Callithrix jacchus: one gene and its partners. Each later gene encodes a partner of the first gene's protein in a complex. Links are inferred from orthologs where the notes say so. Each region holds a gene or a part of one and is shown in the gene's direction. Other genes may lie near its edges.

Evidence for each region.
Region 2: the proteins of RAB35 (region 1) and DENND1B are in contact, whole or in part, in a crystal structure (PDB 3TW8), measured with the Homo sapiens proteins. The link is inferred for Callithrix jacchus from reciprocal best matches to the Homo sapiens genes RAB35 and DENND1B. Residues at the interface, in NP_006852.1 of Homo sapiens: Lys10, Leu12, Ser17, Ser36, Tyr37, Ile38, Thr39, Thr40, Ile41, Gly42, Val43, Asp44, Phe45, Gln60, Trp62, Thr64, Ala65, Gly66, Arg69, Phe70, Arg71, Thr72, Ile73, Thr74, Ser75, Thr76, Tyr77, Arg79, Gly80, Thr81; in NP_001182144.1 of Homo sapiens: Met1, Arg4, Glu43, Ser47, Phe51, Val72, Leu73, Thr74, Asp75, Ile76, Glu77, Ser78, His211, Glu212, Arg213, Arg214, Gln242, His243, Ile244, Ile246, Leu249, His252, Leu253, Asp255, Tyr256, Cys258, Ala259, Pro260, Met261, Pro262.
Region 3: the proteins of RAB35 (region 1) and ACAP2 are in contact, whole or in part, in a crystal structure (PDB 6IF3), measured with the Homo sapiens proteins. The link is inferred for Callithrix jacchus from reciprocal best matches to the Homo sapiens genes RAB35 and ACAP2. Residues at the interface, in NP_006852.1 of Homo sapiens: Arg3, Asp4, Tyr5, Leu8, Ile41, Gly42, Val43, Asp44, Phe45, Ile47, Lys58, Gln60, Trp62, Phe70, Arg71, Thr72, Ile73, Thr76, Arg79; in NP_036419.3 of Homo sapiens: Val715, Ala718, Asn719, Ala720, Asp721, Val723, Thr724, Arg727, Leu728, Arg730, Met731, Glu734, Met735, Ser738, Glu748, Thr749, Gln751, Arg755, Asp756, Gln759, Met760.
Region 4: the proteins of RAB35 (region 1) and RUSC2 are in contact, whole or in part, in a crystal structure (PDB 6IF2), measured with the Homo sapiens proteins. The link is inferred for Callithrix jacchus from reciprocal best matches to the Homo sapiens genes RAB35 and RUSC2. Residues at the interface, in NP_006852.1 of Homo sapiens: Asp4, Tyr5, Leu8, Phe9, Lys10, Ser22, Leu26, Asp30, Ile38, Thr40, Val43, Asp44, Phe45, Lys46, Ile47, Lys58, Gln60, Trp62, Thr76, Arg79, Gly80, His82; in NP_001129471.2 of Homo sapiens: Val997, Lys998, Asn1001, Asp1005, Val1008, Thr1013, Arg1015, Lys1020, Glu1119, Glu1155, Leu1158, Leu1159, Gln1161, Pro1162, Leu1165, Leu1166.

What each region holds. Positions count from the first base shown.
Region 1 is NC_133510.1:123,242,313-123,250,112, reverse strand, and holds the start of RAB35 (ras-related protein Rab-35), read left to right. Parts: upstream 1-2,668; coding exon 2,669-2,720; intron 2,721-7,800. Other genes in the region: uncharacterized protein LOC108593240, read right to left, coding at 2,266-2,670. UniProt on the Homo sapiens protein: The small GTPases Rab are key regulators of intracellular membrane trafficking, from the formation of transport vesicles to their fusion with membranes.
Region 2 is NC_133520.1:24,521,607-24,528,664, reverse strand, and holds part of DENND1B (DENN domain-containing protein 1B), read left to right. Parts: intron 1-4,170; coding exon 4,171-4,230; intron 4,231-5,528; coding exon 5,529-5,582; intron 5,583-7,058. UniProt on the Homo sapiens protein: Guanine nucleotide exchange factor (GEF) for RAB35 that acts as a regulator of T-cell receptor (TCR) internalization in TH2 cells. Acts by promoting the exchange of GDP to GTP, converting inactive GDP-bound RAB35 into its active GTP-bound form.
Region 3 is NC_133516.1:24,368,224-24,375,927, reverse strand, and holds the start of ACAP2 (arf-GAP with coiled-coil, ANK repeat and PH domain-containing protein 2), read left to right. Parts: upstream 1-2,946; 5' UTR 2,947-3,193; coding exon 3,194-3,246; intron 3,247-7,704. UniProt on the Homo sapiens protein: GTPase-activating protein (GAP) for ADP ribosylation factor 6 (ARF6). Doesn't show GAP activity for RAB35.
Region 4 is NC_133502.1:142,403,938-142,411,753, forward strand, and holds the start of RUSC2 (AP-4 complex accessory subunit RUSC2), read left to right. Parts: upstream 1-2,873; 5' UTR 2,874-3,141; intron 3,142-7,816. UniProt on the Homo sapiens protein: Associates with the adapter-like complex 4 (AP-4) and may therefore play a role in vesicular trafficking of proteins at the trans-Golgi network.

The sequences.
Region 1 (7,800 bases):
ATTTCCCCTTCCGAGCCAAAATTGAGGATTCTCATAGGCTGTGACAGCAGCTGTCTAAAAATAGACACTCAAAGCTCTCATATTCCAGTGCCATCATGAAATCTTTATGATGAAATCTTCTCCCCATCATTACAGCTAAAAGTGATAGCTTTCCTCCTCTGAAGTCTAGACTGTGTATTTGACAGCTTTCTATCTGCATTGTCCTATATTTTCAATTTCCTCACGAGTATGTCTTAACTGATAAGGCTGTAAACTGGAGGGAAAAGGCCTCTGCAATCTGTGGCACATAAGCACTCATTAAACAGTTACCAAATAAATGAAGAATTCATGCTGATTGCTTTCCAGATGGCATATCCAGGCAAAGTCAGGAATCTGGTTTTAATGGTCAATTTTGATTTATTTCCCAAAAATACCCTGCAGCCCTATTAGGAAGTTGGAAATGTGTGCTATAGTCTATAACAGGAAATGGCTCAAAGTATGAATGAGTCAGTGCAAAATGACCTTGAGTAACATTGGTTACGGTCAGTCTCATGCCTACATGTGCCAGGTAATTTACGAACATACCTCTAAAACAACCGTTCTGTGAGGAAACAGGGGCTCTGAGATAGTATGATGTGACTTATCTAAGATCACAAAGGTTTTAAGGGATGGAGGCTAGGATTCCAATCTTAACATTGAAACCAGTCTTCCTGACTCCAGCCAAGGCTGTGAAGATGAGCTGGGAGGACCTACTGCCTCGCTGGCTGGTCAGGGCTGGGTGACTTCCTTCTCACCCTATAATTCCTAAAGCTGCTGAGTCAGAGGATGGCCCCAACCTTCCAGACCAAGGGGGACTTTTCTATTAGCAGGAGCACATGAGCAGCTCTTCTCCCTAGCCAGTACCTTCAGATTCCAAGCTCATGCTCTTTAGACATCACCACACTGATTCTCAGCTCCCGGAAAAACAACTCAAGGCTTGAATCAGACACTCCGTGTGTTGTTCAATGATCCCCCCAGCAACAATGTTTATAATAACCAAAAAATATAAACAACATGAGTGTCTATTAATAGCAGGGCGGTTAAGTACAACCATCAGATAGAGTACCATACCACGCACGCAGCTGTTAAATGATACAAGTGTACTGTTAAAAAGGTAGACATATGATTGTACAGGCAAAGGAAATTCACCGAGGGCACTTACTCATTCAACAAGTATGTGTCAAGCATTTTAAGGTTACCTGTTAAAAACTAACAGGGTTTACCTTGAGGAGTGCTTCAGAAGCAAAAATAGTAACTTGTACTTTTCAGTAAACTTCTGCACATAATTTTAAGGACAAGCATAATTTTTTTTTTTTTTCTTTTTTTGAGACGGAGTTTTCGCTCTTGTCCAGGCTGGAGTGCAATGGCACGATCTCGGCTCACTGCAACCTCCGCCTCCCGGATTCAAGCGATTCTCCTACCTAACCTCCCGGCATTGTTTTTTATAAATTCAAAAGAAAAGGAAGTTTGATAGAAAAGTAGAAATATCCAACAAATACCCGCCTGGAAAGGGACAGGGCTATAAGAAATAGGAGCTTAAAACCCTCTGCAGTTCTGCATTGAAAATGGCCGTGGGGGCATACTACTTTCAGGTGTTTCAGGTAGGGCAGGTGGGAACTCACTCTAAAACGAGAAAGCGGGGGCTGATGATAAAATGCACATGCTTTGCTTCTGGCGGCCCAGGTCTTCCCAGCCGCAGATTCTGAGATGTGTATCTGCAGGTGGTGTGAAATTGAAGCCCGGGAAGTGGTTGCTTTCGGTCTCCGAGGTGCGCCTTGCACAATGGGTCATTCAGCTCCCAGGCTCGGCTCCGAGCTACACGAGACTCTGAACCTGGACCACTCCCTCCCCTCCAGCAAAGAGGCAACGTGGGCTTCTGGAGGTCACAGCGCTGGGATGGGATTTCGACCCCGCGCTGCCCTCAAAGCTCACAGCCTCGCAGCTCTGCTCCCGCCGGCAGCTCCCGTTCTGCGTAACTCGGGAGCCGCCCGCCGCCCTCGGCGTCCAGTTCACAGGCTCGGGGCGGGGGCCAGCTCCGCGAGGGCAGCGTCGGTGCGGAAGGGGCGGGGTGCCGGCCATTCCTCGCGCGACTCTACCTTCCATGTCCCCAGCCCCGGACTCGGGAAACTCGGAGCTCGCGTGAGCCCCGCCCCACGGTCGTGGCGTGCTTGTCATTTCCTCTCACAGGGCTTGCGGGTCTCGAAGATGAGGGAGAAAGAACGTCCACGGCCGGGCTTCTCCGGCACCTTAGGCTTCTTTCAGCTGGGTCTTGACAGCGGCTCCGCTCCGCCAGCTCTCAGGGCCGCGAACAGCTGCTGCGACGCTCCAGGAGGACACGCCAGAAAGACGCGCCGAGACTCCGCCGGGGCGCGTGCGCGGCGAGGGCGCGGCCGGCTCGGGCTGCGGCTGCGCAAGGCGGTGCCAGACGCCGCGCCTGCGCAGTGGCGGGGCGGGGCGGGAAGAAGGGAGGCGGTGGCAGCGGCGGCGGCTGCTGAGGAGGAGGAGGAGGGGGACGGAGGGAGGTGTTTCTGTCAGTTCCGGCTGTTTGTTCGGGAAGTGGATCCGCCGCTGCCGGAGCAGCCCGGAGGGAGCTGCGGATCGCGAGGCCAGTATCGACCCCGCCCGCCCGCGCGCACCGCCCCCGCCCGCCATGGCCCGGGACTACGACCACCTCTTCAAGCTGCTCATCATCGGCGACAGCGGTGAGGGCCGCAGCGGCCGGAGGCGGCGCGGGCCCTGCCGGGCGCGGCCCGCGGGGGCCTCGGGGCGGCAGGCGGGAGGGGAGGTGCCGGCCTCCGTGGGGCGGGCGGGCGGGGCTGCCCGGCGGTCTGGGCTCCAGGGGGGCCCCGAGGGGCTCCGGGCCGCGCCGAGGGGAGGTTGGGGCGCGGGGCGAAGGGGCCGAGCGCGCCGAGTCCAGTCACCGCGCCTGTCCCTGCTTCACGTGTGACCTTGGTCAAGTCGCGCGATCTCTGGAGTTGGAGAGACCTGGGTTCGAGTCTCGGGACTACCAGCTGCCTCTCGCTGACCTTGGGCAAGTTACTTCGCCGTCCTGAGCCTCAGTTCCCTCATCTGAGAAGCGGGGACGTGCCTTGCTGGGTGGTGCGAGGATTCCATGGGATAAAGTAGGAAAGGTGCTCAGCGTCCTACCCGGTAAAGTAAGCTCGAAATAAATGTTCACTATTGTCATTATCATCAGTATCCTTTGTAAGTGTCAGTTTCTTCCCATCTAAAAAGAGGAATTCTCAGAACCTGCCTCTTGGGATTGCCATGAGGTTTAAATGAGGTAAGGCGGGTAAAGCGTTTTGCTCAGGGCCTGGCACATTCCCGCCGAATCATTGTTATATCTACCTGGTTCAGTTTTCTCATCTGTAAAATGGAATGATGGTTGGATCTGCCTTATGGGGTTGATGTGAGTGTTCAGTGAGATTGTGCAGTGTTGTGCCCAGCTCCTGGCACACAGTGAGTCGTCACTGTTTGCCGTTTCGCTACTATATACAGAGGAGTCCTGGGGGTGTGGCAGCCAAAATTATAAAAGTGCTTTGGCCACACACACATTGCTTGAGGGCTCCTGATCACTGCTGCAGCTCCTGTGCCTAGAACACTGCCTGGTTCCCAGTAAGTGCTTAAGACATATTTGCAGAATGAATGAATATTAAGTGTCCTTAGAAAAGATAGACTGGTTTCTGGAACAAGATGGAGGGTTTTGGAGCTGTTTGGAGTATGGCAGGCAAGCAGGTTTATGGGGTGACCAAGAGCTCAGGGAGGCAGGCCCCAGAAGGTTTATGGGAGTGTAGCTGAGATGCTGGGGTTATACGATGTCCATGAAAGAGTCGGGAGCATGCTTAGTTTGTAGACCAGACCTGAGCTGAGTGTGGGGAGGGATGTCATGTGATTGGAGGCAGAGGCCATGGACTGTTAAGGAAAGGGGATCAAATCAAATGAGTGAGACCCGGGGTGTCGGAGTGCTGGGTAGCAGTGTCAGAGCTGGGTCAGGGAAGTGGGTGATTTTGGCCTCACTTGTAAAGCTGGATGGAGATGTGGTTGGTGGTTTGGATCAGGTGAAGGATGGCTGAGGTTTCCATAGTTGCTGGAGGAAGGGAGAGATAAGGGGGGAAAGCTGGGGGCTAACCAGGTAGATGGAAGAGTTACTGTGTTTGGGGATGGAGTTACAAAGGGGGAGGACAGAATGGTTATGGTTTGAATGGAAGGAAACCAGGCAAGCTGGAGTGTTCTCTTGGAGATGGCCTTTGGCTTCTTCAGGGTCTTGAGGCTTCTTCCTCTAAATGATTTGCTTGCAGTCCTGGCCTGGGTTCTGAGGGACTGGCACCGGGCCATTTCTCTCTTTTTGGAGTGACCGTCAGCCTGCCATGGTCAGGAGCCTTTATCCCTCTGCAAGACATCTCTGACCTCTGCATTGATATCCTCTGCATTGATGATGAAAAGTCTAAACTCAGCAGGAAGATGGAGCTTGTTGGCGCTTCTCCTCTGTAAAACCCAGGGGATGGGTTTGGCCCGCTTTCTCACAACACATTTTGTATGATGAATTGATTTTTCTCTCCGAAGTCAGGTGTGGAAGAAGACTCATTGGGTCAAGATTTATGTGGTCTAGCTCCTAGGTCAGTCATGTAGGTGTGGGTTGTAGAGGAGGTAGACGCTGTGCTCTTTGATTTCTCCTGACAGAGAGATACTCAAAGCTGGGAGATGGTAGCTGTGGAAGTCCAAACTAAGCTTTGGCGGCTGAGCACAGAGACTGACATCATGCACTCCCCTGAACTGGGCTTCTTGTGCGAATGCCTCCTTAAGGTATATCGAATAATTTCACAGATGCTTATTCTTACCCATGGCCTGTGTGGTTTGTCAAATAAGGAAACTAAGGCTTAAGGCCAGGTGTGGTGGCTCACACCTATAATCCCAGCATTTTGGGAGGCCTAGGTGGGCGGATCACCTGAAGTCAGGAGTTCAAGACCAAGCTGGCCAACATGGTGAAACCTTGTCTCTACTAAAAACACAAAAGTAGCGGGGCGTGGTGGCTCAAACCTGTAATCCCAGCACTTTGGGAGGCCGAGGTGGGTGGATCACGAGGTCAAGAGATCAGGACCAAGCTGGCCAACATGGTGAAACCCCGTCTCTACTAAAAATACAAAAAAATTAGCTGGGCACAGTGACGCACGCCTGTAATCCCAGCTACTCGGGAGGCTGAGGCAGGAGAATTGCCTGAACCCAGGAGGCAGAGGTTGCGGTGAGCCGAGATTGCTCCATTGCACTCCAGCCTGGGTAACAAGAGCGAAACTCTGTCTCAAAAAAACAAAAAAAACCCCACAAAAGTAGCTGGGCATGGCGGAATGTGCCTGTAATCCCAGCTACTTGGGAGGCAGGAGAATTGCTTGAACCCAGTAGGCAAAAGTTGCAATGAACCAAGATCATGCCATTGTTCTCCAGCCTGGGCAACAAGAGTGAAATTCCATCTCAAAAAAAAAAAAAAAAAAAAAAAACAACAAGGAAACTAAGGCTCAGAGGAGGTGACTGACTTGCCCCAAATCAGACAGCTCAGCAGAGGCAAAGCCAGGGTTACTGTACCTCAATGCTAATATGTGTGCAAGCAGCTGGTGTCAGGGCTGGCAAACAACAGGCCCGCCATGAAAGCTGGTTTCTTTCTTCATACATCTAGAGTGCTGCCCACTCTGCACATTCTGCATGCTTCTGCAGTGGACTCCCTCAACCTCTGCATCTCTTCGTTATGCCTGAGGTTCTTTACTTTCTATACTTTCCCTTGTACTGACAGTGGCTCCGATTTGTAACAGCATTTCATCTGCATCCCTCAGAACAGCCATCCTCATTCGGAGATGGAGTTAGCCCTTCACTTAACAGATGAGTAAACTGAAGCTAAGAGATGGGGCGTGACTTGTGTGAGGTTATAGAGTGTGGTAGTGGCTGAGGCAGGATTAAAAATGAGAACATGGCTGGGCACAGTAGCTCATCCCAGTGCTTTGGGGGGCTGAAGTGGGAGGATCACTTGAATTTGAGACCAGCCTGGGCAACATAGTGAGACCCCCATCTAAAAAAAAAAAAAATCAGTTGGGTGTGGTGTTGCAAACCTATAGTCCCAGCTACATGGGAGGCTGAGACAGGAAGATCGTTTTAACCCAGGAGTTGAAAGTTACAGTGAGTTACGATCACACAACTGTACTCCAGCCTGGGTTACAGAGTGAGACACTCTCAAAAATTTTAAAAGGCTGGGTTTGGTGGCTCATGCCTATAATCTCAGCATTTTGGGAGGCTGAGGCGGAGGGTCGCTTGAGCCCAGGAGTTTGAGACCAGCCTGGGCAACATAAGGAGGTCCTGTCTCTACAAAAAATAAGAAAATTAGCTGGGTGTGGTGGTGCACGCCCATAGTCTCAGCTACCTGGGAGGCTGAGGTGGGACGATCTTGAGTCTGGGAGGCGGAGACTGCAATGAGCTGTGATTGCGCTGTTGCACTCCAGCCTGAGTAACAGAGCAAGACCTTGTTTCAGAATTTAAAAAAATTGAGAACATTTCACTGAAAGGCCTAGGGCTCCTCAAGAGATGGAACTGAAGCAGAGAGGAGTGAGGGGGCCAGAGCCCAGGCAGGAGCAGGCCGAGGACAAGATGTGTGTGTGGCTGGTGTGGTGAGGACCAGATACAGCAGCCAGGGGTAAAGGCTGGGTGCTGTGGCTCACTCCTATAATCCCAGCTTTGGGAGGCTGAGGCAGGCGATCACTTGAGGTCAGGAGTTCGAGACCAGCTTGGCCAACATGGTGAAACCGTGTCTCTACTAACAATACAAAAAAATTAGCTGGATGTGGTGGCAGGTGCCTGTAATCCCAGCTACTCTGGAGACTGAGGCAGGAGAACTGCTTGAACCCGGGAGGTGGAGGTTGCAGCCAAGATCAGGCCACTGCATTCCAGCCTGGGCGACAAAGTAAGACTAATCTCAAAAACAAAAAAAAAAAGCCAAGCATGTTGGCTCATGTCTGTAATCCCAGCACTTTGAGAGGCCGAGGTGAGCGGATCATGAGGTCAAAAGATCAAGACCATCCTGGCCAACATGGCAAAACATTTAGTAGAAACCCCGTCTCTACTAAAAATACAAAAATTAGCTGGGCGTGGTGGCAGGCTCCTGTAATCCCAGCTACTTGGGAGGCTGAGGCAGGAGAATTACCTGAACCCAGGAGGCGGAGGTTGCAGTGAGCCGAGATTGCTCCACTGTACTCCAGCCTGGTGACAGAGTGAGACTCTGTCTCAAAAAAAGAAAAAAAGAAAACAACAACGGGCTGGACTGGTTGGGGTTACACTGATGTGGGCCTTGGGCAGCCTCGGCAGTAGCTATGGTGAAGGCTGACTGGTGCCGTCTGCTCCCGCCCTGACACTGGTGCTGTGGGGTAATGGCTGCAGCTCATGTTTCTGAGGAAGCTTCTAGGGATATTTAGAGGGTAGCATTTCTTGGGGTGGGTTTCTGTTCCTTTCAAAGGGAGAACAGTGTTAGAGATTGGTGTTGGGTCCAGAGCAACAGATAATGTGGTGATGTTTGTGGTCTTTCTGCAGCCTAGTGGCTTTTAACTGCTCTGCCGAGGCGCCTGGGGACAGTATGGGGACCTGGAAAGGGCAAGCTGGAGGGGACACTACTGTGTCGTTGCAGAGAGAGCTGTGTTAGACATGGGATTTGGGTAAAGCTTGAATGAAGAAAAGGATTCTGCTACCCTGCAGAAGTTTGGAAAGCCCTGCTTAGGCGCCTGCTGAGCTGCAGTGGTAGCGCTAGATAGC
Region 2 (7,058 bases), on another chromosome or scaffold:
CTGCTTGTTGACTGCCAGGCATTTGGGTTGGTTCCACAATTTTCCAATTGTGAATTATGCTGCTATAAACGTGTGTGCAAGTATCTTTTTCGTATAATGACGTTTTTCCTCTTGATAGATACTCAGTACTGGGATTGCTACCATCAAATGGTAGTTCTACTTTCAGTTCGTTAAGGAATCTCCACACTGTTTTCCATAGTGGCTGTACTAGTTTACATTCCCACCAGTGATGTAAAGATATGGAAGTGTTTTCTGATTGCAACATCCACGCCAACATCTAATATTGGGGTGGATGCAGTGATCAGTTGATCAGTTTAACAGTTGTTTAGTAGATGTGTGAGGATCATATTTTGGGATAACTACATGTATAAGAAGATTTAAACATTGAAAAATTATGTTTTATTTCTGTTTATTAAATAATATGGTGGCTGATGTTTAACAAAAGTATTTTGATTTTTTTCATTATGGCCATCTTTGCAAAAATAAGGTGGTATTTCATTGTGGTTTTGATTTGCATTTCCTTGATTCATTAGCGATGTTGAGCATTTTTTCATGTTTGTCGGCTATTTGTATATCTTCTTTTGAGAATTGTCTATTCATGTCCTTAGCTCACTTTTTGATGGGATTTTTTTTTTCTTATTGATTTGTTTGAGTTCATTGTAGATTCTGGATAGTAGTTTTTTTGTTAGATGTATAGACTGTGGAGATTTTCTCCCACTCTGAGTTGTTTGTTTACTCTGCTGACTATACCTTTTTCCATGCAAAAGCTCTTCAGTTTAATTAAGTCTCAACTATTTATCTTTGTTTTTATTGCTTTTGGTTTCTTGGTCATGAAATCCCTGCCTAAGCCAATGTCTAGAAGAGTTTTTCCAATGTTGTCTTCTAGAATTGTTATAGTTTCTTATCGTAGATTTAAGTTCTTAATCCATCTTGCATTGATTTTTATATAAGGTGAGAGATGAGGATCCAAAATTCATTTTCCTATATGTGGCTAGCCAATTATCTCCTGAAAAGGGTGTCATTTCTCCACCTTATGTTTTTGTTTGCTTTGTTGAAGATCAGTTGGCTGTAAGTATCTGGGTTTATTTCTTCATTCTCTATTCTGTTCTGTTGGTCCATGCGTCTTGCCCAGATTTCATCCTGTGATTTCACATAAGAGTAATGTTCTCTTACGTTATTCCATTCTTTAACCACTACTGTTAGTAGTAGACTAAGGTGGTTAGCATCGTAGTTCTGGTGCTTAGTACTTCAAAGAGTTCTTAGTCTAGAGTCTCTCCTTCCAGTCCTTTCTACAAAAGACTGTCAGGGTAGACTTACTTAAACTATATAAAGTCCCAGCTGAAAACTTTTTGTTTCCCCATTTTCTATAGAATTTGTTCAAACTTTGGCTAGACTTTCAGGACCATCCATTTCTTAGATTCAGTTGAATTTTTTTTTTTCCTCCTCTATTCTGGTCACATAGTTTTGTTGAGCTTCTTGAATGAGCATCATTACTTTAGGACAAAAGTCACTTTGTTGATTATGTATTGTTAGTCTAGAACTTACTCTTCACTTTTGTGAAACCTCTTGTCATACAACTTAATGCAGTGTTTTTCTTTCCTGTGATCTCTGCTGCTTTATGTCTGCATCTTCTTTTGTTGCACACTGCCAAAGTGGAAAGGTTTAATAGTCATTTGGAGACTGGGTGGTAAAAAGCTAAGGATAACCTGGAATTTTTAACCCAAATTTGGGAGTCAACAGTAGACATAGTTGTAGCTGTTTAAAGGATAAAATATAGAAGAGCATAGAGCAGAGGCTAAGTTCTAATTGCCCAAATAGGCTATAGGGAAAAAGAAAGGAGATCCTGTGAAAGAATTGGGGGAAAGAGCAGTTAAAGAGTAACTTAGACTTACAGGTCATTGAAGCCAAAAATGTGCAAGGTTTATGGTTAGTGGAAATGCAATAGAAAGGCCAAGGGAAAGGTCAAGGATAATAAAGAAGAGCCTGGGATTTTCCAAATAAAGGTCATTTATCTTTGAAAGTGTTATATTTATAAGGTGATTCTGGCACTGTCAAAGAGTTCAGGAAAATTGAGGTGCTAAGACAATGGAGGTGGCATTGAGAAATACAAATATGCTCTCCTTAAATTTGAGTATCATATTTGCTCAGGGGTAAATAAATATCTTAGCAAAATACATCTCCAAAATTTCAGGTATTGAAACACTTCATCTTTATTGATAAGAACCATAAATTAAAGATTTCTAGGTCTTTTTCACTTAGGATTAGAAGATTTTGGTTTAAGTCACAGTCAGTAAATGTGTAATGTTAGTCAAGAAAGTTAACCTCTTTAGATGATCCTTTTTTTTCCATTTGAGAAATTGAGCATGTCAACTTTTGAGAAAGTTGTTTTAGTAATCAACTTTCTCAAATCAAATAAATAAAGTGATATATCTGGATCTACCATGAAGAGCTATTCAGGTGTTAGGTGGTGGTAAATTGAAGTTTCATCTCATATGGAGAAAATGTTTTCTTCTGAAATAGCTGCATTGTAGCTGAAATAATCTTGTCAAAGGAATTTCATTGACTATGTTCTATTCCTATTTATATAGGAATTTGACTGACTATCGTCTATTCCTTAATAGTTATTCCCATAATTAAGAATTCTTTTTTTTTTGTTTGTTTGAGACGGAGTTTTGTTCTTGTTACCCAGGCTGGAGTGCAATGGTGCGATCTCGGCTCACCGCAACCTCAGCCTCCTGGGTTCAGGCAATTCTCCTGCCTCAGCCTCCTGAGTAGCTGGGATTACAGGCACGTGCCACCATGCCCAGCTAATTTTTTGTATTTTTAGTAGAGACGGGGTTTCACCATGTTGACCAGGATGGTCTTGATCTCTTGACCTCGTGATCCACCCGCCTCAGCCTCCCAAAGTGCTGGGATTACAGGCTTGAGCCACCATAAGAATTCTTATATGCACTTGAATTAATAGTCTATGATAGTTTTTCAAGTCTTGTACCTATTTTAAAGTTAAAATATCGTGGCTCACGCCTGTAATCCCAGCACTTTGGGAGGCCAAGGCGGGTGGATCACGAGGTCAAAAGATCGAGACCATCCTGGTCAACATGGTGAAACCCCGTCTCTACTAAATATACAAAAAATTAGCTGGGCACGGTGGCATGTGCCTGTAATCCCAGCTACTCAGGAGGCTGAGGCAGGAGAATTGCCTGAACCCAGGAGGCGGAGGTTGCGGTGAGCCGAGATCGCACCATTGCACTCCAGCCTGGGTAACAAGAGCACAACTCCATCTCAAAAAAATAAATAAATAAAATAAATAAAGTTATAATATCTTTTTTTTTTTTTTTTTTTGAGACGGAGTTTCACTTTTGCTGCCCAGGCTGGAAAGCAATGTAGTGATCTCAGCTCACTGCAACCTCCGCCTCTTGGTTTCAAGCGATTCTCCTGCCTCAGTCTTTCAAGTAGCTGGGATTACAGGCGCCTGCCACCACACCTGGCTAGTTTTGTATTTTTAGTAGAGATGAGGTTTCACTGTGTTGGTCAAACTGGTCTTGAACTCCTGACCTTAGGCAATCCTCCCGCCTTGGCCTCCCAAAGTGCTGGGATTACAGGCATGAGCCACTGTGCCTGGCTAAGTCATAATATCTTAAGTGTTGATAAAATCAGCTGTTACATTTGTTTACCATGAATAGTTAATTGTATTTGATTTCAGTAACAGACTCCTAATGTAATGTATCTGGTGTAATGCTGTTAAATAAGTGGCAAATTTGGGACTAGGACACTTATCTTCAGCTACTAGAAGAGATTTTAGTTTTATGCTGACAGATTAAAATTGATGATTATGGAAGTTTTTGTTCCTGTACAAGTGGATAATGGCCACTAGAAATCACATATTTTTATAAAAAGTTAATGTCTAGTGAAAATACTTTTTTTGGAATATTTCAAAATCATTAAATATCCACAGCATTCTCTAGTAATATGAAAATACTTTCATTAGGATTTTTCTAGCATAAAATTAGCAAATCAGCATTTAAAATAATATTTATAATTACTTTTATTCAAGTATTTTTTAGTGGCTAATGTGGCTACATGGGTTTTGTCTTAATTACACAGCGAATTGTTGTGTAAGCTTCTCCCATGAAAGTAAAATATTCATTTTTTTCTCTCATGTGTTATAAGAACCAAGAGATATTTATTGCCTGTGAGCAATTTCTGAAAGATCAGCCCTCTCTAGTACCGGTGAGTTAAAAGGACGTTGGCTTCTAAAAATCGCTATTAAATAGGAAAAATAATCATTTATTTCACTATGCCTTTAAGATTCACTCCAGCTCTTTGGGAAATGGTAAATTTGATTTCTTTAAGAAAATTAATCATTGGAATATATAATATTTTCTGTTTATACTATCTTGTAAAGCATAGTTTTATAAAATACAGTACTATTAAAAACCATTGCAAATAAAACTAGCTTATAGAGACCAAAATCTATGCATATTCTCCATTTTCAGTAGTAGTAATTTTGAAGTATATTCACAGCATGAGATTTGTCACATTTTTTGGCTCCAAGATCACAGAAGATCTTGTGATTTTTCTCCTATTGTTCTTCCATCCTGGAAAATTATACATTATGACTGTGTTAACTAGCCTTGTTCTGACGAGTTCAACTATGCTCAAGTATTGGCTAGAGTGTTTCTTTTCTAATTGTTAATAATATGATAGTATTAAATATGTCCTTATGTGATTAAGATATTTAAATAATTTTGAAGATTAATATGAACAGAAAATAAAACATTTTTTGGTGATTAAGTTGCACGTTGATTCTGGGTGGTAAATTTGGGAATATTGTTGGTAACATGACAGCATATGTACACAATATACTCTTTTAAGTATTGTGATGAACTCTTGTACTTCTTTGAACATTAGAAAAGCTAATTGTTTGGCGGATGTGTGAAGATCATATTTTGGGATCACTACATGTTTAAGCAGTTTTAAACATTGAAAAATTATATTTTATTGCTATTTGCTAAATATTAGGGTGGCTGATGTTTACAAAAAAAGATTGGTTGTTACTTACCATAGAAACTTAGGAATCTTAATAGATGTTGATATATTTGGTTAGCAAGCTTTAATTTTTCCAATCTATGTCAACTAAATGTGTTTTAATAATATATATGTTTCTATGTGTGTACATGTGTGTGTGTGTATATATAGTGTATATATATATGTATATATATATATGTATATGTACAAAATAAACCTTTCAATAATGTACTCTTTTTTGCCTTAACACTTTTCCCTAGTCTTATCTTAATTTTAAGGTCAAATATTTTTAACCAACTCTTAACTTTTTGCATGGTAAATCTCATATAAACCTCCTAACTCATTTAAGAATCTTTCAAATTCAACAAATACTGAATTTCAGTCCATGGCATTTATTAATTCTCTCAATATATTTTCTTTCTGATTTTCATTACAAATTGTATGTAATGATACCAAGTTTTAATTATCTTTTTCATATGTGATTTGTTTTTATTGATTAGCATTCCTACTTCATTACCCCTGATGTAACTGGACTCCCAACAATACCTGAGAGTGTAAGTTTTCTATTTTCTGTATTAATTATTCTTATATTATTAATTTTATTTAGTTTGGTCTCACTGTTTATGCATTTTTATATAGAGAAATAGGATACATTATAATTATCTGTGTTTATGATAAATAATGAAGAAATAAGGAATATTGATGTTATTTTCTTCTCTTCTTTTTGTATCTGCCCCCTTTACCTTCTTCTTAATATCTGGTTGTAGATAAGGAAAATCAAGCAGTAATAGGAGGAAAATGATTTCTGTCACTTGTAATAATTAGGTAGGATCATATATATTCAATTAGGTTCTCAGGTTCTCTGTATCTGATAGAAGAGATGCCTCAGGAGATGGCTTCTACTGTGGAGAAGAATACTAGCAATGGGAAATGTCTTCACACAAATTGTTACTTTAGTGAAATTATCATATTATTTTATATTCCTTGTATATAATGCTTCAAATCTTATCTGTCCTGTTCTTAATTTCCTGACTTTAATTTAAAGCAATACATATCTTTCAAGGTTTGATGGGTATTATAATAAATTATAAAAATTGCTAAAATTTGCATTTTATTTAGAGTCATAATGGTAGCCATACTAGAAATATTTTCAGTTTTTAATAGTTATTACAAATTTATATTTTGTAGAAAAGTTTACATAGAGAAGTGGAAGTAACAAATATGCTTTTATGATTTGGATAACTGTGAAAATGAAATATTTCATTATGTAATTTTTCTTCAGCTTCCCTTGGAAAGTTAAAATGAATCTGTAGGAATAATTCATTAAAAGTAAAGGAAAAATCAACAGGAAGAAAGTATTTCAATATATACTTATTATTTTCTTTGGAATTCTAGTGTTTTTCCAAATGTTTTCAAACCCACGGAATGTTTGGTTTCTAAAACCATGTGGGTAGTGAAGGAAGTCCAGTAATACAATTGTAAATTTTCTGGTATCAAACTAAGACTATCAATGGTGTTTTCAGTACAGATGGATCCAGAAAACCCTGATGAAAAGCCTTTGTATCAAGTTGCTCTTATGGGCCTGAGATAGGTGATCAGAGCTCTCAGGTTACTGTAGATCCTAAAGCCTCAATTGCTGTACATTGTGGGTCAGGTACTCCTTGTTATGTTTTCTTTAAGGCTGACTGACCATGCCTTGACTTAAATGACCCTTGTCCCTTCACTTCAGAGTTTCACAGTCAAAGTTGCTCCCATCTACTCTCTCTCCTGTTTACCTTTCTCTTAGATTTACTAACAAACAACTAATAGCTTAATTTAACAAAAGTCACATTTTTTAAAAGACGATTACTTTGAAGGTTTCAAAGAAACAAACTTTCAAATGAAAAACTGCCACTGAGAATATGTATTTTTACACATCTATTAACATGTTTTACTTTGCACAAAGTCCTCTTTAGGGAAAAGAAAGCAAGAGCATAAGCATAAGGTAGCACTCTATGCTGAGAAATAATTCCCCATCTAAGAATTATACC
Region 3 (7,704 bases), on another chromosome or scaffold:
TGAGTCACCTGCTAAGTTATTTTTATATCTTGGGACCTTGATTTCCATTATTACACTGAAAATACACAAATTAGCCAGGTGTGGTGGTGCATGCCTGAAATCCCAGCTACTCAGGAGGCTAAGACAGGAGAATCGCTTGAACCTGGGAGGAGGAGGTTCCAGTGAGCTGAGATCGTGTTACTGCATTCTAGACTGGGTGACAGAGCAAGACTCCATCTCAAAAAAAAAAAAAAAAAAAAGAAAGATGAAGATAATAATATTGTATTTCTTTTATTCTAAGACTCACTGCTCTCACCCCATCCCACTTTAATGTTTCTTTATTTAGGACATATCTTACAATTGATACCCCAAAGTGCTTGCTTTATCACAGGGCAAGGAAGAAAAATTGTGACAGTGTTATCACTAACTGGGTATATGCAAATTTGCTATCCACAGAAAGATGTTCACTTGATAATTAGCTTAGTTATTTGCCTTTGTGGTGCCATGCAGTTGAATTTTAATTTGAACCCCAAAGTGTCACTTTAGGTATCTTCGAAAAGGCTACCATGTGAAGTATTAAAATAAGTTATTGTATGTGCAGATTAGCTGTCACATATCAGGAATGCAACCAAATGTAGTAGAGATTGCTGACTCTCTTGGTAAATTTGACATTGAAGTTACAATATTAGAGAAGGTTGGCCTGACCACTAATGTGCTTGAGGACCGGGAACATTTAACAGTCAATAGTCTGTTTTTAGCTATCAAGAAAAGCTGTATAGATTCCAGGAATACACAATTAAAAAAAGAAGTTTATAGCAAAGAAGAAATGTATATAATGCTTGTATATTTTTTGAAATGCCTCAAAATTATACTGTTATTTTTCCTTTTTTTTTTGATACAGTGTTTTGCTTTGTCTACCCAGGCTGGAGTGCAGTGGCATGATCATGGATCATTGCAGTCTTGACTTCCTAGGCTTAAGTGATCCTCCCACCTCAGCCTCCTGAGTAGCTGGGACTATAGGCATGTGCCTGGTAATTTTTTTGTAGAGTTGTCCAGGCTGGTCTGGAACTCCTGGAGCAAGGGATCTGCTCACCTCGGCCTCCCAGAGTGCTAGGATTACAGGTGTGAGCCTCCATGTCCTGCCTATACTGTTAATTTCTAAAGATGCTAAAGAGATCAAGATATCTCTTGATGAGTTATGAAAAACAGTATGTCATTATGTTATACTTAGCCAGATGTTAAAAAGGTTATATTAAGACTTTAGAAGTCTGGGTGCATGGCTCACACCTGTAATCCCAGCATTTTGGGAGGCTGAGACAGGAGGATCACTTGAGGCTAGGAGTTTGAGACCAGCCTGGGGAACAGAATGAGATTGTTTGTTTGTTTGTTTTTGAGACAAACAAAATCTTCAGACAGTGAAAGTGAGCGGGCTTAGACTTAAGTCCTTTGATTACAGTACTAAAGATGAAAGTGGTACAATTATAATAGTCAACATTTACTGAATGATTGCTATGTGGCACTGTGTTAACTGGACAACTTTATCAGATTTGTTGTGTTATGTTCATTTTAAAGCGAGAAAGCTAGAACGTAAATCCAGGAAGTTTACCTTCGGATTCTCACTCAAAGCCAACATGCTGTTAGAACACCCTACATATGCATTTTTATAGATACGCCCATACTTTTTAGGTCGGCTTAAAACTTATTCATTTAAATATAATATATCCTTGTACTTTTTACAATCAATGGCGTCTTAAAAATCAAGGAGTATGGCAAATACCTGCCTTGTAGGATTACTGTGAGGATCAGATGATAAATATCTTAAAGTGCTTCTAGAAAAAGTGTTCATTAGAGGCACAGGTGTTGCAAGGTAAGTACGATGAGCCTGGTCTTCAGAACGCCACCATCGCAGAACAGGTGAAAACCACTGGGAGCAAAGTGTCAGTGAGGAGGAATGTTTTCTGCAGTTTTGAGAGGAGTTCCTCCACACGAAGCACCCTACCTCCCATACCTGCTTAAATCCTATGTCCGACCCAAACGCCAGCTCCTTCAGGAAGTGGCCTCTGGTTATATGAGATGATGTACATGGGAGCAATTTCCAAATTATGAAACGGTGAAACCAATACGTGAAAGATAGATTTTATCATTAAAGTTACTTACCCCTGGCCGGGCGCGGTGGCTCAAGCCTGTAATCTCAGCACTTTGGGAGGCCGAGGCGGGTGGATCACGAGGTCAAGGGATCGAGACCATCCTGGTCAACATGGTGAAACCCCGTCTCTACTAAAAATACAAAAAATTAGCTGGGGCACGGTGGCGTGTGCCTGTAATCCCAGCTACTCAGGAGGCTTGAGGCAGGAGAACTGCCTGAACCCAGGAGGTGGAGGTTGCGGTGAGCTGAGATCGCGCCATTGAACTCCAGCCTGGGTAACAACAGCAAAACTCCGTCTCAAAAAATAAAATTAAAAAAAAAAAAATAAAGTTACTTACCCTCGCTCGTCTCCTGGCCTCAGTGTCTCTATACTGAAAGGAAGAAGTAGCTTAGCCCATGTCTTTCTTTTATAACTTCTGACTCTAACCTCTTCAGATTTCTGCCTAAGCTGCTTTAAAAAACAAATTTCTTTCCTTAGACCTGCAGGAGGCAGCTCCTCTGGGCTAGCAGCTCAGCAGGGCGGGGCTCTGGGAGCAGGAGAAGAGGCGGGGGTTCTGAGGGAAGCGCGGCCGCAGCCACGTGACTTCCTTCCCAAGGAGCCTCAGCGGCCGGCCTCCCAGCAACCGGTGCGTCCCGCCTAGCGACGCCTGCCCATCCCGGTTGGCCCTCGGGGGCGGTTGTGGCAAGGAGGCGCCCACGGTCGCGCTGCTCATTGGTTCCGGTTTCCGTCACTCAGACCCGTTGCCCGGGCGCCCGCAGGCGGTGCTGCCGGATACCCCGCCCTTGGCCGCTAGGTTCGTGGCTGGCTGGCCGCGGCTGTCACTCCCCGGCCGTTTCCCTGCGCTCAGTGCTCTCCTTGGGGCGGGAGGAAGAGGGGCCGGACTGCGGCCTGACGAGCCGTCGCCGTCTTCGCGGATGCTATGACCAGCGGGCGAGGCGCCCTTCGCAGCTCCGCGCTACGCTAGTCGCGGCCGTGCGCCCGCCCTAGCCGTCTGCGTCCCCAGCGCGGCCGCTCGCGCGGCCCCCTCGGCTCTGCCAGCGCCGCCTGCGAGGCGAGGCGGAGGCCGGATGAAGATGACGGTGGATTTCGAGGAGTGTCTGAAGGACTCGCCCCGCTTCAGGTAACCGCACAGCCGGGTGGCCGGCGTCACCGCGGAGCTGCCTCCCCGGCGCTGGGGGCGTGAAAGCGGGCTCGCGCATCTGCAGGAGGCCCCGCCGTCCGCGCCTTCCGACGGGGCGAGCGGCAGTTGCCGCCGCTTCCCATTCCGCGAGGGCACTGCAGTCACCACCGAGCCTTCCTAAGGGACGAGGAAGTGGCGGGGACGGGAACGTCGCCTCCTCATCCCTTTCCTCGCCCTCTGCCGGGGCGGAGCGCCCCGAAGGCCGGCGCACCCGCTCCCGCTGGGGGGAAACGGGGTGCAGCAGCGTTCCTGAAGTCTCGTCTCCTTCGCTGGCGCTCGCTCTCGCCGCCTTCCTCCTCTGGCTGCTGTTCCTTTCCCCTTCCTTCCGCCCCTTCTTAGTTTCCACCTCCTCCCCACCCCCTATTTGAGGGAGCTTTCAGAGCATCGCCTCGCAGTTCACTTAGTTCCTCTTTTCGCTTTTCTGCCCCCCTTCCCCCGGGGCGAACTGGAACGCCGACTTCTGCTTCTTGGTGCCCCCGGCCAGAGCGACTCTCCGGAGGGCGCCCGCGGTGGATGCGTGCGGGAATCGCCGGGGGAAGCTCTGTGACCAGCCGCATTCCATGGTCCCTAGTTGATGACTACCTGGCTTTTCTTTCCATTAAGCTCGTTGAAGTGGGCACAGCTGTCGAGAGTTCTGGGCTGAGGGCGGAGGACTAGGAGAAAAGTGCATTTCTGTTTTGAGAACGGAAGTAGGAGGGCCGTGAAGATTGCATGTGTGTTCCTCTTCCAGCAGCCTCTGCCCTGGAGGGCCGGGATCACAGTCGGATGCTCCCAGTGGATCTGTCACGGAGCTGACATGGGGGCACTCCGACTCACATGGGCTGCCCTTCTTTCCATGTGAGAGGTGATGATCCTGAGGTTGTCCAGGACACAGCTTCTTTCTGTTTTGAGTATGGTAGGAAACTCTTGAGTTGCTTTAGACAATGGAGTTTTTCTAGGTTGTGTTTTACAGTGTATTTATTTACAGAGCTTGCCATAGTCCTCCCAAATACAAGGCCTTAACACTTCCATTAGATAGTGACATTTCTTGAAAGCTTCCTCTGAGCATTGGCGTGTGCGTGTGCCCGCTGATGTCTGGGCAAAGCCTGGATTGTAAATTGCATCCTCTGCCTGGGAACTAGCTGTTCTCATCCTTAACACTTAATTGAATTTCTTCTCCTTTCAGTGAAAAGCAAGGAAAAGAATTGTAAAACTAAAGAACTGCTACTTAGAGAAAATTTGCCTTTGCCCTTTGATCATTTTTGGGTGTTAATTTTATTGGAGCTTAGGGCTATTGCTTGTTAAAAAAAAAAAAGCAGAAAACAAAAACCCACTTCCTTTGATTGCTGTTGCGATTAGTTTTCGAAACTTTTATGTTCTGCATAATTGAAGGACTCAGCAGACACAAATAGACTGTCTAGGACAGGCTTGTAGGATGGTGTCCAGGACAGTGTGGCTAGTGGAGTAATTTTTAAAGTGTACCTTAGAAAGTTCAGCTTTTTGTGAAATTTTGTTACTATGACTCAGCTATTTGTTTATTTATTTATTTATTTCTTGAGACGGAGTTTCGCTCTTGTTACCCAGGCTGGAGTGCAATGGTGCGATCTCAGCTCACTGCAACCTCCGCCTCCTGGGTTCAGGCAATTCTCCTGCCTCAGCCTCCTGAGTAGCTGGGATTACAGGCACGGGCCACCATGCCCAGCTAATTTTTTGTATTTTTAGTAGAGACGGGGTTTCACCATGTTGACCAGAATGGTCTCGATCTCTTGACCTCGTGATCCACCCACCTCGGCCTCCCAAAGTGCTGGGATTACAGGCTTGAGCCACCGTGCCCAGCCTCAGCTATTTATTTTTAAGTGAAAAAATTACAGCATTTTTCTCTTAGAGAATGTAGCTTTGAGCTCTTTGTTTCACATTAATTTTTTTTTAAGTTGAGAGAAGTGATTTGGAAATACTTCTAGCTACTGGTGTGTTGGTCACAAACCATGTGATGTCTTTGTTTTTGAAATAAAGGAATCATTGAATATAAAATAAAACGGCAAGATACTGATTAAGTTGTAGGGAATATTATAGTGAACTTTTGTTAAACTTGATTGTAACATAAATTATACGTTAATTAAAATATTAGAGGTTTTCAAGAGTTGTTTTTCATATTCCAATTATTGTTAGCGGCAAATTGGGAAGAGACGCCAAAGTTCAATAACTCCAACATCTTCTGTACATTTTGAGAACACATTTAGATTTGCAATAGAGGGAAGACTGCCTAGAAATAGAAGTTTCATTATCCACATTCTTAATTTTTTATAGTTTTTCTATAATCCTGTAACTTTGAGGATTTGTGTAGCATTTGAAAAGAATGTTTCAGAAATCTTCATTCACTTGCTGTGTGTAAAGGAAGAACTTTACTTTTGAGAGTATTGTGTACATTGAGTGATACTGAAACTTGTATCAAAATAAAACAAGTTTGTGAGGCCTGGGCTTGTTTTTTGATAGTAAGGCAGCTGCACTTGTGTCCTCATCTATTGTGCAGCCTTTTTTTTTTTTTTTTGAGATGGAGTTTTGCTGTTGTTACCCAGACTGGAGTGCAATGGCACGATCTCGGCTCACCGAAACCTCCGTCTCCTGGGTTCAAGCAATTCTCCTGCCTCAGCCTCCCGAGTAGCTGGGACTACAGGCGTGCACCACCCTGCCCAGCTAATTTTTGTATTTTTAGTAGAGACGGGGTTTCACCTTGTTGACCAAAATGGTCTTGATCTCTTGACCTCGTGATCCACCTGCCTCAGCCTCCCGAAGTGCTGGGATTATAGGCGGGAGCCACCGCCCCTGGCCCTATTGTGCAGTCTTTAAACTAATTCCTGTTTTTATTGGTAAATGAATCTCATGGCATGTAAGTTTGGTGTGTGCACATAACTGTCTTGGTGCTGTAGAATGAATGCAAAAGGCACATCTTGCTGATGAAAATTTCACCATCGTTCAGGCTTTAAACACTTACTTTCCTGTTAAATCAATGAGGAGAATCCAAGGCGACTGGTTGCAATAGGGAGATGGTTGTCTCAGTTGTAACATTTTCTTTTGTAATTTGAAGAGTCAATGGTTACTTTTACATTCCAGTCAACATTTTTTTTGTTTGTTTTTAGATTGGAGGGCACATTTCGCTGTATAATTTTGGGTTCCCTTTTTGGTTTTTTAATTACCAGTCTAAAATCAGCTTAAAGGTCAAAATCTTGTTCATCTGAGATCTAAAAATCTTGTTCATCTAAAAATCTACAAGACTGTTGAGTGCCTACGTACACTTTGTCTTCCCCCAGTGGAAATTTTGCATTTTGACCAAATATGTTGAAGTTTGAATTTGTTTGGGCCCTAAATCGTTTATAGTTGCATGTAGTAGGTCTTTAAAATTTTACACAATCTCAGTAAAAATTGTGCTTTTCTTTAAACATATTCTTGGGCTGGACACTGTGGCTCATGTCTGTAATCCCAGCACTTTGGGAGGCTGAGGCTGGCCGATCACTTAAGGTCAGGAGTTTGACACCAGCCTGGCCAACATGGCAAAACCTCATCTCTACTAAAAATACAAAACTTAGCCAGGTGTGGTAGCATGCATCTGTAATCCCAGCTATTTGGGAGACTGAGGCATGAAATCACTTGAACTCGGTAGGCAGAGGCTGCAGTGAGCTGGGGTTGCGCCACTGCACTCCAGCCTGGGCCACAGAGTGAGATTATCTGAAATAACCCCCAAAACCCAAAACATACTGTTCTACTTACGAAGTGAATATTCTGTTTGAAATAAAAAGTAGAATAAATAAATAAAATAAATTGAAAAAATAAAAATCTTTCTGAATTGTGAAAGATTTTTGCTCTGAGCCATGTTCAAGTATAAAAATGTTGTGGCATGGCACAGTGGTTCATGCCTGTAATCCTAGCAGTTGGGAGGCTGAGACAAGAGGATCACTTGAGGCCAGGAGTTTGATACTTGGCGTGGTCAACGTAGTGAGACCTCATCTCTACAAAAATAAAAAAATTAGCTGGGCATAATGGCGTGGACCGTGATTCCAGCTATGCAGGAAGCTGAGATAGGAAGATTGTTGAGGCAGGAGGTCAAGGCTGCAGTGAGCTATGTTCACACCTCTGCACCCAGCCTGGGCGACAGGGCAAGACTCACTTTCTCAACAACAACAAAAATTGGCCTTAGTATGCTTTAGTTTTTAATCTGATCATTCATTTATTTTTCTCCTTTAACAATGTCTGTCATACACCATCCTGAAGGTTTTTCATTTCTAGATTCTATTTCAGATATGATTCTTGTTCAGTAACTTAGAATAACATTTTTTAGAAAAAGGGGTTTGTGGGTGAATTTTGTTTTAGAGACAGTCTTACTTTGTAATCAGGCTGGTGTCCACCTCCTGGACTCCAGTGATT
Region 4 (7,816 bases), on another chromosome or scaffold:
CTGTGAAGCATGAGGATGTGCTGCATATCATGACATTTATCTGCTTCCTTGACTGTGAGCCCCAGCTCTCTTTCAGTGAGTTTGGAACCTAAAACAGTCTTCTTAGTGGGTGATATGGTTTTGTTAGTGAGATCTGAGTTACCCCAAGTTACCGGCAGCCTATCCTTATGGGTCTGTAACAACTTTAGTCCTTGCTTCCTCAAAAAGAAAGAATTCAACTGTGGGGCGTAAAGCAGAAAAAGAGACCAAGGCAAGTTCCAGAGCAGGAATGGAAGTTTATTTAAAAAGGCCTTAGAGGCCAGGCATGGTGGCTCACACCTGTAATTCCAGCACTTTGGGAAGCTGAGGAGGGTGGATCACGAGGTCAGGAATTCAAGACCAGCTTGGCTAAGATGGTGAAATTTAGTAGATTTAGTCTCTACTAAAAATACAAAAATTAGCTGGTCATGGTGGTGGGCACCTGTAATCCCAGCTGCTTAGGAGGTGGAGATGGAGGTGGAGAATTGCTTGAAGCTGGAAGGATGGAGGTTCAGTGAGCCGAGATCATGCCACTGCACTCCAGCCTGGGCTACAGAGCGAGACTCTGCCTCAAAAAAAAAAAAAAAAGGCCTTAGAACGGGAAAGTGTGCTTGGAAGAGACCTGAGTGGGCACATGAGAGTTAAAGAGAGAAGGTCAAGTGGCTAACCATCATCCTAGGATTATTATTATTTTTTGAGATGTTGTCTCGCTCTGTTGCCTAGGCTGGAGTGCAATGGCACCATCTCAGCTCACTGCAACTTCTACCTCCTGAGTTCAAGCAATTCTCCTGCCTCAGCCTCCCAAGTAGCTGGGATTATAGATGCCCACCACCATGCCTGGCTAATTTCTATATTTTTAGTAGAGTTAGGGTTTCACTGTGTTGGCCAGCTTGGTCTCAAACTCCTGACCTCAGGTGATCCGCCCCCTCAGCCTCCCAAAGTACTGGGATTACAGGCCTGAGCCACCACACCCGGCATCCTAGGACTTTTTTTGTTGTTGTTTTGTTTTGTTTTCTTCTTCTTCTTTTTTTTTTTCATTCTTTTTCCTAGGACTTTTATAGGCTTGCCTCATTCCCATGATTCTTCCCTTAGAATGGGCTTCCCAAATGTGCAGTGATTTCATTACCCTTTTCCAGTGAAGGATGCCCCCAAAAGATCATATTTCACCATTTTTGTCTCTTAACACACATGCCCAGAAAGTTGCTTCTCCCTGGGGCCTGCATACAATTAGCATTTTGATGTTAACAGGTGTGGAACATCAAGAAATGGCCTCTCCCTAGCACGGCCAATTTATCATTTTTAAAGAGGCAATGAGATAATTACGGAACTGCCACCAGTAGAGGGTCGTGACTGCAAGTTGACCAGGTTCTTGGCGGTTTGAATAAAGAATTGGACAAAACATCCAGGAAAGCAAAAAAAAAAAAAAGAATGAAGCAACAAAAGAAGGAAAGCAAGGATTTATTGAAAACAAACGAGCACTCCACAGAGTGGCAGCCAGTCGCGCAGCGCTCAGGTGCCGGGAAACAGCATTTTCTTGGGTCCCAATATCCCCTAGGAGTTTCCCATTGGCCACTTCATGCTCACCTCATGTAAATGAAGTGGTAGCCTGCAATCAGTCTGATTGGTTGCAAAAAGCAGCCGAGCAAAGGCTGAAGTTACAAAGGTCACACCCCTGAGCAAACATCTGATTGGTTGCGTTTTGCACATGTGAAAATTGGCTTTTTGCAAATCAGAGGCTAGGGTAAAGTCACAAAGTTATACTTCTATGCAAATTTAGACTTGGCCACAATTAGTCTATTTGGTTGCAGACCGCCAATTTTCCATCTGCTGTGCAGAAAAGATGGGGGGTTTGCAAAGGGAATAGTCTCTAGTCCTTTTATTACTTAGGTATGGAAAGTTAGGGTTTTCCTTTCAATTTAGTTCCAGGAAGTTGGCATGAAACAACTTTAGGTTCCCTGCCTCCAGTCCCTGTTCTCCTGCCTCAAAACCATCGCCGACATCCTTAGTAGGTAGAAGGGGAGAACCCTCTCCAGCTTGCTCATGCCTGTAACAGTTTGGCTGTGTCCCCGCCCAAAATCTCATCTTGTAATCCCCATAATCCCCACGTGTCAAGGGCGGGACCAGGTGGAGGTAATTTGATCACGGGGTTGGTTTCCCCCTTGCCCTTCTCGTGACAGTGAGTGAATCTCACAAGACCTGATGATTTTATAAGCATCTAGCATTTCCCTGCTTGCACTCATTCTGTTCTGCCACCCCATGAAAAAGATGACTACTTCTCCTTTGCCTTCTGCTATAATTGTAAGCTTCCTGCGGCTTCCCCAACAGTGCAGAACTGTGAGTCAATTAAACCTCTTTCCCTCATAGTATCCATAGCAGTGTAAGAACGGACCAATATAGTGGGTTTCCCATAACTAATATTTGCAGGACTGCCTGCCCCACCCCACTCTGGCTAGAAGCAGCAAGACTCCCCTACACACCCGGCCCTGAAGAGCAGGGGGCGTATGGGTTCTAGGTTTCACCAGGGCCTCGGAACCCTGGCTATGCAAGGAGGGGCCAAACCCAACCACACCACCCCAGTGATTCTGAATCAGTCGGTCCAGGGTGAGGTCAGGCCTCCGTTTGTCGTTGTTTTGTTAGTTTCCTCACTAGGTTCTACTGGGGAGCTAGGGTTGAGAACCGCCGTCTTAGACGAAGCTAGACGCTCACATCCACCAGCCCTCGAGGCGCCCTAGGCTTCCCTGGGTTCCTGTACCCGCGAGCGGCGCGTCCCAGTCACCACCCCGCGGGGGCGGGCGCGGGCCGCAGAAGGCGGAGCCACGGCGGAAGCCTCGCCGCTCCCCTCGCTGGAAAGCTCTGCGCGTGACTCGGCTGCGCCCATCGCTGTGGGAGCCGGGGAGGGGGCATGCACCGCGGCCGGGCGGACTGAACCAACCCGCCGCCCGGAGGGGCGACCTGAGGGCAACCCAGATTGGACCATTGAGCCACGCTGACGAGGGCCCGCATTTCCAACCCGCCGGGAGGGAGGGGGCGCTGGCGCCTCTAGGCTATAACGCGACCCCTGGAGGGTGCGAGACCACGCCGCCGCCGCCGGCGCGGAAGGAAGAGACTGAGGCGAGAAACGAGGTAGGAACGCCTCTCCGGAGGCTGGCGGGGTCTCACAGACCCACTACCCCGCGTTCCAAGGGCTCCCTTAGGGGAGGGAGGGCCTGTCTACCCACCTCTGTGCCCTCAGCGTCTCCCTTCCCCCTCGGCTGCACCCGCCCGCTGCGTCCGCCCCGACCCTCCGGTCAGACCTCGTCCCCAGCCCTTCCGACCCCCGGCCTTCTCTGACTCGTCAACTCTGCGTCCACGCGACCTTCAAACATCCAGCACTCACCGTCCATTTGGGCGCCACCCCAAATGCACCCCCAACCGTCTCCTCAAACTGCCCCCTTGGAGACACCTTCCCCCACAAAATGACTCGCGCCCGGTAGTCACCGTGGTACCCCAAGCCCCTGTGACGGCTTTGGGGAAGCGCGGCCGCCCGGCACCCAGGCCCGCGACTGCAGCGGGGGCTTCCCTACGGCCAGTCCCCGGCTGGGTCCTCTGCGCCCTCCGCCCTTTTAGCCCCTGGTTCCTGTTAATATCTGCCCGGTGCCGGCGTCGCTTCAGTCTCCGTCTCTCCGTCATCCAGTTTTACCTGGGGAAAACCTTTGGCTTGGCAGTACTCGTCCCCTACTACTGCACTCACTTGCCGCGAAAGGGCACAGTGAGTGATCCTGTTGCCCACGGTTGGCTGTGGCCCTCCAGGCTGGCCCTGCGGACATAGGGAACTGTCCTGGGGCAAGGATCGTACACTACTCATCTTTGTATCCTCAGTCCCCAGCGTGGTCCCTGGCTCACCGTGGTGGTGTCGGTGGAGGGTCTTGACTACCAGTTGTCCTTGGCGTTTTGAACAAAGAATTGAGCAAAACGCACAAAGTAGCGGAGGAATGAAACGCAGGAACGAGTAGATCATAGTCAGGCAAGGATTACTACTATGTGAACAGTGTCCGTGATAAAGAACACAGGCCTTTAAAAAAAACAAAAGTGGAATTTTCAAAGGACAAAGGGCCTGAAACCTGTTTTTGTTTATTCTTAGGTGGGTGACCTGAGCAGATTTACTTTCCTGAGGGTATTAGGGTTTGGGTTCCATGGGGAAGCAGGTGGTATCGCTGAGGGATGAAACAACGGCTGGAAAGCTGTAAGAGTTGATAAGCTAGGAAGTAGTTACCTAATTAGCAGTGGCATTATTGTAACTTGGGCTCAAAGTATCAGCAAATAAAAGTAGTGATTGGATTCTCCTGGCCAGCTCCTCACGTATCAGGCAGTGGTGGATGGCTTAATGGAAGAGCAGATCCAAACAGTATACCTGGTATCCTGTTACTTATGTTGTATGGCCAGCCATGGTTTCCCTTCTGCTTTGAGCTAGGTTAGGATCCCTCTGACTTCTATGATGGTGCTTAAGATTCCTTTCTGAAGTCACAGCTGCCTTAACTGGAGGCTGGACATGTTCTCATTCACCCATTTCTAGTTCTGATTTATCCTTTTCCACTTTCTGTCTGCCACCCTCTGACATAACCTTTATAAAGTCTTGAATCGGGCCCAGCCGACACAGTGGCTCAACCTGTAATCCTGGAACTTTGGGAGGCTCAGGTAGGCGGGTCACTAGAGGTGAGGAGTTCCAGACCAGCCTGGCCAACAAGGTGAAACCCCGTCTCTACTGAAAATAGAAAAATTAGCCGGGCATGGTGGTGTGCACCTGTAATCCCAGCTACTCGGGAGGCTGAGGCAGGAGAATCACTTGAACCTGGGAGACAGAAGTTGCAGTGAGGTGAGATTGTGCCACTGCACTCCAGCCTGGGTGACAACGACTCTCCGTCTCAAAAAAAAAAAAAAAAAAAAAAAAATGAAATAGGCGGGGCGCAGTGGCTCACACCTGTAATCCCAGCACTGTGGGAGGCCGAGGCAGGGGGATCACTAGGTCAAGAGATCAAGACCATCCTGGCCATGGTGAAACCCCGTCTCTACTAAAAATACAAAAATTAGCCGGGCGTGGTGGCATGCGCCTGTGGTCCCAGCTACTCAGGAGGCTGAGGCGGAAGAATTGCTTGAACCCAGGCAGAGGTTGCAGTGAGTCCAGATTGCGTCACTGCACTCCATCCTAGCAACAGAATAAGACTCCGTCTCAAAAAATATATAAAATAAAATAAAGTCTTGGATCATGGAAACCCAATTTGGGGACGGACTCTTGAGCTGGATGGATTAAACAGTACAATTTTTTTTTTTAATGGTATCTTTTTAGTGCCCTTTTTTACTTTTTCCTGTCTTGGCTCCCTCTTAAGACTTCAGTTCCCCCAGAACACCCTGGATTATTTTTCTGCTCACCTCTAATACTTAAGTGTGGCCAGATAAAACAAGGGTGCCCAGTTAAAACTGAATTTCAGATAAACAACAGGGAGGCCTGCATTTTTACTTGCTAAATGTGGCAAGTTCATGGGAAGGCTTATCTGTTCTATTTTTCTCTCTGGGGCTTATCTGCAAATTTAGGATAATAACTCACCCTTTTCTTCCTATTACTCATACACAATGATTGTGCACCCTGCTAAAAGTCACTCGACTGAAGAGCTGGTTCACTGCCTGTTAGGGTAAGGGCAGGCTATCTAGAGATGGTCTGATTGATTAGTGTTGAAGTTACCCAGGGGAAAAAAAACCATTCAGACATTGGCATTTAATATAACTTTTGTCAAATGAATCCATCATGCAAAACCAGAGCATTACTTTGAGCAGCTAGATGTCAACATTGCTCAGAGAGCTAGGTGGTGGGGTAGAGGAAAATCTAACAACAACAAAATATAACTCATAGCAGAACCTGTGCTGTACCATATTTACTCTTTATTGTGGTAAAATATATATAACAGGAAATTTACCATCATAATCATTCTCAAGTGGCATTAAATATATTCACATTATTGCACAACCATTACTGACGTCAATCTCCAGAACATTTTTTTCATCTTCCCAAACTGAAACTCTGTACCAGTAAGATACTAACTCCCCATTTCTCCCTACTCAGCCCCAGGCTTTCTACTTTCTCTCTCTGAATTTGACTGCTGTGGGTACCTCATGTAAGTGGAATTATGCACTATTTGTCCCTTTGTGAGTGATTTGTTTCAATTAGCATAATGTCTTTTTTGATTTTGGGTTTTTTTTTTAAACTTGTATTTTAGGTTCAGGGGTACATGTAAGGGTTTGTTATATTAACTAGTTTCACAGGGATTTGTTGTACAGATTATTTGATCACCCAGGTATTAAGCCCAGTACCCAATAGCTATCTTTTTTGCTCCTCTCCCTCCTCCCACCCTCAACAAGACCCCAGTGTCTGTAGTTTCCTTTGTGTTTTTAAGTTCCCAGCATTTAGCTCCCACTTATAAGTGAGAACAAGCAGTATTTGGTTTTCTGTTTTTGTTAGTTTGCTAAGGATAATAGCCTCCAGCTCCATCCATGTATCTGTAAAAGACATGATCTCATTCTTTTTTATGGCTGCATAGTATTCCATAGCATATGTGTACCACATTTTGTTTATCCAATCTGTCATGGGTGGATATTTAGGTTGATTCCTTGTCTTTGCTATTGTGAGTAGTGCTGCAGTTGGTTAGCCTAAAGTCTAAGGTTCATCCACATTATAGGCTGTATCAGAACTTCCCTCCTTTTCTTTTTATTTATTTTTTGAGACAGAGTCTCCCTCTGTCATGCAGGCTGGAGTGCCCTGGTGTGATCTTGGCTCACTACAGCCTCTGCCTCTTGGGTTCAAGTGATTCTCATGCCTCAGCCTCCTGAGTAGCTGGAATTACAGGTGCACACCACCATGCCCAGCTAATTTTTGTATTGTTAGTAGAGACAGGGTTTCACCACGTTGGCCAGGCTGGTCTGACTCCTGACTTGAAGTGATCCATCAGCCTCAGCCTTCCAAAGTGCTGGGATTACAGATGTGAGCCACAGCACCTGGCCAGAATTTCACTCCTTTTAAACACTAAATAATATTCCATTGTATGTATACACTATATTCTGTTTATCCATCTCTTGATGGATATTTTGGTTGCATCTGTCTTTTGGCTATTATGAAAAATGCTGCTGTGAACATGAGTATACAGATGTGTTTGAATCCCTGCTTTCAGTTCTTGTGGTTATATACCCAGAAGTGGGATGGATGGATTGTATGGTAATTTTATGTTTTGGTTTTTGTGGGGTTTTTTTTTGTGTGTGTGGAGCCACCATATTGTTTTCCACAGTGGCTATAGCATTTTCCATTCTCATCAGCAATGCATAAGGGTTCCAATTTTTCCACATCCTTGGAAACACTCTTTCTTTTTTAAAAAATAATAACTATCCTAGGCTGGGCATGATGGCTCATGCCTGTAATCCCAGCACTTTGGGAGGCCGAGGCAGGCAGATCACCTGAGATCAGGAATTCAAGACCAGCCTGGCCAACATGCTAAAACTCCATCTATACTAAAAATACAAAAATTAGCCAGGTGTGGTGGTGCACGCCTGTAATACAAGCTACTCAGGAGGCTGGTTTGAACCCAAGAGGCTGACGTTGTGGTGAGCTGAGATTGTGCCACTGCACTCCAACCTGGGTGACAGAGCAAAACTCCATCTCAAAATAATAATAATAATAACCATTCTAATCAGTGTGAAGTAGTATCTCATAATTTTGATTCACATTTCTCTAATAAAAAGATATTGAGCATTTTTTCATGTATTTGATACTTATTGG